Linked DNA regions of Cricetulus griseus. The protein of the gene in region 1 binds, or shares a complex with, the protein of each later gene. Links are inferred from orthologs where the notes say so. Each region holds a gene or a part of one and is shown on either strand. Other genes may lie near its edges.

The links. The genes of interacting proteins can lie anywhere in the genome.
Region 2: Meaf6 (region 1) and Kat5 share a complex: the UniProt entries of both Homo sapiens proteins name them as parts of the nuA4 histone acetyltransferase complex. The link is inferred for Cricetulus griseus from reciprocal best matches to the Homo sapiens genes MEAF6 and KAT5.

What each region holds. Positions count from the first base shown.
Region 1 is NC_048595.1:27,970,402-27,974,146, reverse strand, and holds the start of Meaf6 (chromatin modification-related protein MEAF6), read left to right. Parts: upstream 1-1,145; 5' UTR 1,146-1,210; coding exon 1,211-1,300; intron 1,301-2,192; coding exon 2,193-2,308; intron 2,309-3,745.
Region 2 is NC_048596.1:53,746,830-53,750,574, forward strand, and holds the start of Kat5 (histone acetyltransferase KAT5), read left to right. Parts: upstream 1-1,110; 5' UTR 1,111-1,125; coding exon 1,126-1,303; intron 1,304-1,619; coding exon 1,620-1,688; intron 1,689-1,778; coding exon 1,779-1,915; intron 1,916-2,175; coding exon of another isoform or gene 2,176-2,202; coding exon 2,203-2,358; intron 2,359-2,447; coding exon 2,448-2,522; intron 2,523-2,829; coding exon 2,830-2,904; intron 2,905-3,635; coding exon 3,636-3,745. UniProt on the Homo sapiens protein: Catalytic subunit of the NuA4 histone acetyltransferase complex, a multiprotein complex involved in transcriptional activation of select genes principally by acetylation of nucleosomal histones H2A and H4.

The DNA.
Region 1 (3,745 bases):
CTGGAGTGGGGATTGGTCAGATTTCAGTCCCTTGAGCTCAGATTGGCTAGATCTTGTGCTCAGAGATTGGTTCATTTTCCCTGCTCAGGGATTGGTTGGTTTTCTGCTTAGTTTGTCAGGAATAGATTGGTGCTAATTTCAGAGCCAGGGCATATTTTTTTCACTGCCTCTGATTCTAGGGCCAAAGTGTGTTTCTTTGACTCTGCTTATGGTGTGTTTCTTTGGCTGGCCCTTTTTCCCTACACAGGGTCTCACTATGTAGCTCTGGATGGCAGATGACCCGGAACTCCGTATGTAGACCAGGTTGGCCTCAAGCAGAGCTAAAGATCCTTTTGTCTCCTGGTGGTGGTGGGATGAGCCTTTAATCCCAGCACTAGTGGAGCAGAGGCAGGTGGCTCTCTTGAATTTCAGGCCAGTCTGGTCTACAGAATGAGTTCCAGGGCAGCAAGGATCCATCTGCCTCTGCCTCCAGGGTGTTGGGATTAAAGGCATGAGCCATTAAGCCTAGCCTTAATTTATTTTTGAGACAGGGTCTCTGCTATGTAGAACATAATGGCTGCAAACTCATGATTCCCTACCTTCACCTCCTGAGCTGCTGCCATTACAGGCCTGAGCCATTAGGCTCTGCTGATTCACAATCCTCACAACGACTATCTTTTGAAACGTGTGTGTGTGTGTGTGTGTGTGTGTGTGTGTGTGTGTGTGTGTGTTTCACATTGTATCTCTGGCTGGCCTGGAACTCTATGTAGATCAGGCTAACTTCAAACTGAGATGAGCCTGCTTCTGCCTCTGGAGTCCTGAGATTAACGGCATGCGCCACCATCCAGGAATCTGCTCTCCAGCCAGGATGGTGGGGCTAGACCTTGCTCAGATTTCCCACCTGCAGTTGGGGTGGTGAGGCAAGGGCATTGTCTGAGGCAAGGCACATAGGATACTTAACAGGCTTATGCCGCAGCTGGACTTTGGATGCAGTGAGCGTCCGTGGGTGTCTGCAAGGCTCAGGGGCTCACAGTGGGAAGAGGACAGCAAGGACGACCCCACACGGACCAGCACCACTCTGCGCCTGCTTTCGCGCGCGCAGACCGCCAGCGGCCCGGAAGCCGCGCGCGCAGGCGCAGTGGCGGCGCGCCCCCTGGCGGCCGGCGGCGGTAGCGCGCAGGGTCCGCCTACCGGTCGCGCGCCGCCGCCTCCGCCGCCGCTTGAGCCCAACATGGCGATGCACAACAAGACGGCGCCGCCGCAGATCCCAGACACCCGGCGGGAGCTGGCCGAGCTGGTGAAGCGGAAGCAGGAGCTGGCGGTGAGTGGCCGGGGCCGGGACGCTGTCCCCGCCTGGCCTCGCAGGCCCCTCCGGAGGCGAGAGCTCTGGGCGGCCGGAGTCCCGGAGCTCTGGGCGGCCGGGCGCGGCGCGGTTCCCTGCGGCGGCGCGGCTCCCGGCCTGCGCTCGGCGGGCGGGCGGGGGCGGCGAGGGCGCGGGAAGGGCGAGAGGCAGGAGGCGGGGACGACGCTCGGGCCGGGCTTAGCGGGTGGGAAGGAGGCTGCTAGACCCCGGCCTGGAGAGGACTCGGGAGCGTGTCGGGTGGGTACCCGCGGCCGATTGCACGGGCGGCACGTTTCAATGGCCGGAGAATGTGGTGTATTTGAGGATGCCTGGAAGGGGGCTGGCTGGCCGGAGGCGCAGGACGCAGTCTAGGGAATTTGGAATGGTGACGCGCACCCGGAGCCGCCGGCACCCTGGTGGCTCAACCCTCCAGGCTCCCGCCTTTTGCTGCGAGCATCCGGGAGGCAAAGCTCACCTGAAGCTGCCCTTCCAGGTTTCCATAGCAACCGGCATCCGCTGCGGGCGGCCCTTCCAGAGCTAGTAGGGAGGGAGCAGTTAATGTAGAAAAGATGATTTTGAAAAGCTCTTCACCCTCGTCTCTGCTGGCAGCGACACATTTAGTGAGTGAAAATAGAGACAGCTTACATTCTCTCTCATCTCTGCTCACGAAGTAGATGTAAAATCTTGCATGTGTGTGCATTTTCTGAGGACAGGCTTCACATTCCATTTTATTTATAAAAGGGTCCATCACCTCCACTCTTCCACAAAAATGGTTTAGTGTGGGTAAGCTTGACGTTACAAGTCTGTATCCAGATCTCAGTTTGCTCATGGTTAATGCTTGCTTCGCCATGTCCCTCTTTTCATCACTTAGGAAACACTTGCAAACTTGGAGAGACAGATCTATGCTTTTGAAGGAAGCTACCTGGAAGACACTCAAATGTATGGCAATATTATCCGTGGCTGGGATCGGTATCTGACCAATCAAAAGTGAGTGTCAGAATCTAGTAGTATCCATTTTATCCCCTGATAATATTTATCTGTATGGTTTTTGTATTGTTTTTTAAAAACATAGTCTTACCATGTAGCCCTGGCTAACTTGGAACTTAATATGTAGTTCAGGTGACCTCAGACTCACAGGTTACATAGATCCTTTTCCCTCTGACTTCCTTCCAGTTCTGGATTTAAAGGCATGGGCTGCCATTGCATATCTTGGGATGTTTGTTCTTGGTATCCTCTTTGCAGGGAGATGGTGATAGAGTCATTGTGTGAAATGAGGTCTAAGCTTGAACTTGTATTCTGACTCTGCCATTGTCTCATGGAGTAACCGTGGACAAAGCCCATATTTGTGACTAGGGAAAGTCGGGCCCATGGTGCAGGCATATGTAGGTATAAATGAAATACAACATGCGACTTAACTATCTTCCAGATTTTAGTCAACCGTGATATCCAGTTATGCCTTTTGCCATAACTGTATGCTAATTGTACCATTATTTACTTGGTAATGATACTATAAAAATTTCTAAACTTGTGGGAAGTTTTCAAACCTGTAGAAAAATTGAGATCATGTGATACATGGTAGTTTGTATTTTTCCCCTGTATTCATGAGTTGCTAACTTACTGTGGGTGCAAGCTCTAATATATGAAGCCATGTATGTATGCTTTGTATTTTGAAATAATTGCAGATTCATATAGGAAGCAGCAGAGAAGTCTTGTATGTTCTTCACACAGTTTTCTCTAATGGTTACATCTTACGTACCTATAGTAGTACATTATCAAAACCAGGCAACTGATCCTGGCATGACGTGAGTGTAGTTGTATGGCATTTTATCGTATCTGTATAACCACAGATGTAAAACTAGGCCCAGGAGGCATGGTTCAGTGGGTAAAAGCACTTGATGTGCAAACCTGATGACCTGAGTTCAGTTCCCAGAACCTATGTTAAAAAGCTGCAGGGAGAGATGATTCCCAGCACCCAAGTCAGGTGCCTTACAACTACCTATGCGGCCAGCTCCAGGGGATCAGACTTTCTACTACACTCATGAATATCTGCCCCACCACACATTAAACACACCTATGTATAATGTTTTTAAAATGCACATCTTGCCGGGCGTTGGTGGCGCACGCCTTTAATCCCAGCACTCGGGAGGCAGAGGCAGGCGGATCTCTGTGAGTTGGAGGCCAGCCTGGTCTCCAGAGTGAGTGCCAGGATAGGCTCCAAAGCTACACAGAGAAACCCTGTCTCGAAAAAAAAAAAAAAATAATAATAATAAAAATAATAAAAATAAAATGCACATCTGGCATTTTAGCACATTGAGGTGGGAGTTGGGGGCAGGAGAATCATTTGGAAGCTTGTAGGCTGGCAAGCTGGGATAGGCAGTGCTGTCAGAATAACAAGGTCGATTCTGGCTCAGCAAGGTAGAAGGC
Region 2 (3,745 bases), on another chromosome or scaffold:
TGGGGGAAGCCTATATAAGGACATGGAAGACAGAAGCTTTTTTTTTTTTTTTTTCAAGACAGGGTTTCATTGTGTAGTGTAGCCTTGGTCTTGGAGATGGCTCTGTAGATCAGGCTGGCCTTCAACTCAGAAACAACTGCTTCTGACACCTGAATGCTGGGATTAAAGGCATGCACCACCCCCGCCTGGCGGAAGCTTTTACTCTTTGCCTACTTGCTCTCTCTCCCTAGCAAGTCCCCTCCTTCACTGTCATTACAGTCTACTTCGTTTATAGCGCCACATATATACTTTTTTTTTTTTTTTGAGACAGGGTTTCTCTGTGTAGTCCTGGAACTCACTCTGTAAACCAGGCTGGCCTCCAACTCACAGAAATCCACCTGCCTCTGCCTTCCAGAGTTCTGGGATTAAAGGCATGCACCACCAGCGGCCTTATATTATTTTAAAAAAGAGAAACCCAATATACAAAATTAAACACATCTTGCTAAGTCCACACAGCTGTACAAAGCTGTGCAAGCACGTGGCTGGGTCTTCAAATGTCTTCGGGTCCATTGACTGCCCAGTGAGGGTTCAAAACCTCACTTCAGCCGGGCGCTGGTGGTGCACGCCTTTAATCCTAGCACTCGGGAGGCAGAGGCAGGAGGATCTCTGAGTTCAAGACCAGCCTGGTCTCTAGAGCGAGTGTCAGGATAGGCTCCAAAGCTACACAGAGAAACCCTGTCTCGGAAAACCAAAAAAAAAAAAAAAAAAAAAAGAAGTCACTTCCCAGTTTCTCACTCAGGGCGACGCTTCCCGCCGCCACTACGAGGCGCCCGAACAAAGCCGCAGGTCAGAGCCTAAGCACTTCATTGCGTGACCCGCGTCGCACCCGGTGGGCGTCACGTGACAGACTCGGTTTTCCTCCAATCACTGTGCGAGTTGTGGGGATTCTATCTATTACTCGGTCTCGGGCTTACAACACCCTGCTCCCCCATTGCTAAAATGGGCCTGCCCCTTGCTACCAGCCACACAGCAGTAACTCAAGTGTTTTCCTCTCAAGCAGTTTCGAGGGGCTCCGGCCTTTAGCGCACTCAGTTCCGGAAGTGACGTTTCCCAGAGGGGCCGGAAGTGGCAGTGGAGGGAGGGAAGATGGCGGAGGTGGTGAGTCCGGTGCCCGGGGCGGGGCGGAGGGAGCCAGGGGAGGTGGGTAGAGCCCGAGGCCCCCCAGTAGCCGACCCTGGCGCCGCGCTGTCTCCCCAGGGGGAGATAATCGAGGGCTGCCGCCTGCCCGTGCTGCGGCGCAACCAGGACAACGAAGATGAGTGGCGTGAGTGACGTCGGGGGGCGGGTCCAAGGAACCTGAGGGCGAGGGGCGGGAGTCAACGAAAACACGGGAGGGGGAGGGGCTTCTGCGATCCTGGGGCAGTCGCAGATACTCGGAAGGAGGGGCGTGGCTTTGAACCGTACGGAGATGAGCCGGGAGGGGCTTGGAGAGAGGTGTCACTTGGTGACTAAAGAGGTCTTGAGCCAAACCTTCTAGGTGCTGGGGCATAGGAATTCAGCCTGGAGGTGGAGTCCAGGTCCAAGGGTGGAGTCTCATGACCTGGCTCGGCTAAGACCCCCTGTCTGTGTTCTTCCCGTAGCCCTGGCTGAGATCCTGAGCGTGAAGGACATCAGTGGCCGGAAGCTTTTCTATGTCCATTACATTGATTGTGAGTCCTGGGCCCGGGCTAAGTGGGGCTGCTGGATAGGGTTGAGGGCATCCTCTGGCATTCCCTCCTGAGCCATTTCCCCTGCTGCAGTCAACAAACGTCTGGATGAATGGGTGACTCACGAGAGGCTGGACTTAAAGAAGATACAGTTCCCCAAGAAAGAGGCTAAGACCCCTACCAAGAACGGACTTCCTGGGTCCCGCCCCGGCTCGCCTGAAAGAGAGGTGGTGAGTAGGTCCCCCATTTCACATTTTCTCTCCTGCCTCTTCCTTCTTGCATCTCTTGGCCTCGGGGGTTCCCAAATGAGCAGGAGGCAATATTCTCATGCCATGACTTCAGCTTGCAAAGGATGGGGGCTAAAATCGCAGGTGTAGCTTCCAGAGTCCACTATTGCCTTGCTTTAGAGAAGGCAAAGGGTGGGATTTGATCACTCCATGTTGAGGGGACCATCTGCCCCTTTGCCATCCCACCACCATCCCCACCCCAGAGGAAGACTCTGGACCTATCTCTACAGCCGGCCTCCGCCCAGGCCAGCGGGAAGACTTTGCCAATCCCGGTCCAGATCACTCTCCGCTTCAACCTGCCCAAGGAGCGGGAGGCCATTCCCGGTGGCGAGCCCGACCAGCCGCTCTCCTCCAGCTCCTGCCTGCAACCCAACCACCGCTCAACGGTACCCTCAGCAATTCCAGGGACCTTGCTTTCTTCTCAGGTCCCACCTTCTCTACCTTCTGACCCACCTTTCTTGGTTTCTCTCTGCAGAAACGGAAGGTGGAAGTGGTTTCACCAGCAACTCCAGTGCCCAGCGAGTCAGCCCCAGCCTCAGTTTTCCCTCAGGTTAGTCTTCCAGTTTCTTTTTTTAAAGATTCCTATGAGTGTCTTATCTGCATTATGTATGTGTACCACTTGCATGCCAGAAAAGGATATTGGGTCCTTTGAAACTGGAGTTAGAGGTGGTTGATTGTAAGCTGCCATATGTGCTGGGAAAGGAACCCATGTCCTCTGCAAGAGCAGCCAGGGTTCTTAAACTACTGAGCCTCCTTGACCGTCCCTCCAGTCTTCTTCCCCTTCCTTCATCTTTCTTGCTGTCTAGTATCCTCCTTCAGGCTCATCTCAGTCACCCTTTCTTTCATCTTATCCACAGAATGGATCAGCCCGTAGGGCAGTGGCAGCACAACCAGGACGGAAGAGGAAATCTAATTGCCTGGGCACTGATGAGGTGGGTCTCAGGGAGCAGAGGAAGAAGAAAGATGGGCAAGGGGATGGACTTGAGCAAGGAGAGTTCATTCAGTGACTAATTTAAAAGCAAACAAGCCAGGCAGTAGTTGAACATGCCTTTAATCCTAGCACTTGGGAGGTAGAGGCAGGTGAATCTGAGTTCTAGAGCAGCCTGGTCTACAGAGTGAGTTCCAGGACAGCTAGAGCTACACAGAGAAATACTAGGGAGAGGGGGAGAGAGACAAAGAGAGCAAAAAGAAGTCTGCACTTGGGTGGAGTCATTTCTTTGGTCTTTGTTCTGTCTGTCTGGAGTAGATAGACAGATTCCCCAGGAAAGTCATGGGACAACAGGCTTTCCCATCCCACTGTCCTGCAGGCTCAAGAGAGGAACATGAGGTGGTAGGTACATTAGCTATTGGGTAATTTTTATCATAGTACCAGTTTCCTTTGGTTTATTTTGGAAAATGAGCATTATGATGCTTTCCCCTTAGTTGATATTAGACTTGAAGAAAGGAACCTGTGGCAGGGTTGTGAGCCATGTTCTGCTCAACTGTCTGCTGTAACCTACCATTTCTCTAGCCAGGAGGCAGAGGCAGGTGGATCTCTGTGAGTTTGATACTAGCCTGGTCTACAAGAGCTAGTTCCAGGACAGCCTCCAAAGCCACAGAGAAATCCTGTCTTGACCCCCCCCCCCAAAAGAAGAATCTACCATTTCTCACTTGCCTTGGGCAGGACTCTCAGGACAGTTCAGATGGAATACCGTCAGCACCACGCATGACTGGCAGCTTGGTGTCTGACCGGAGTCACGACGACATTGTCACCCGGATGAAGAATATAGAGTG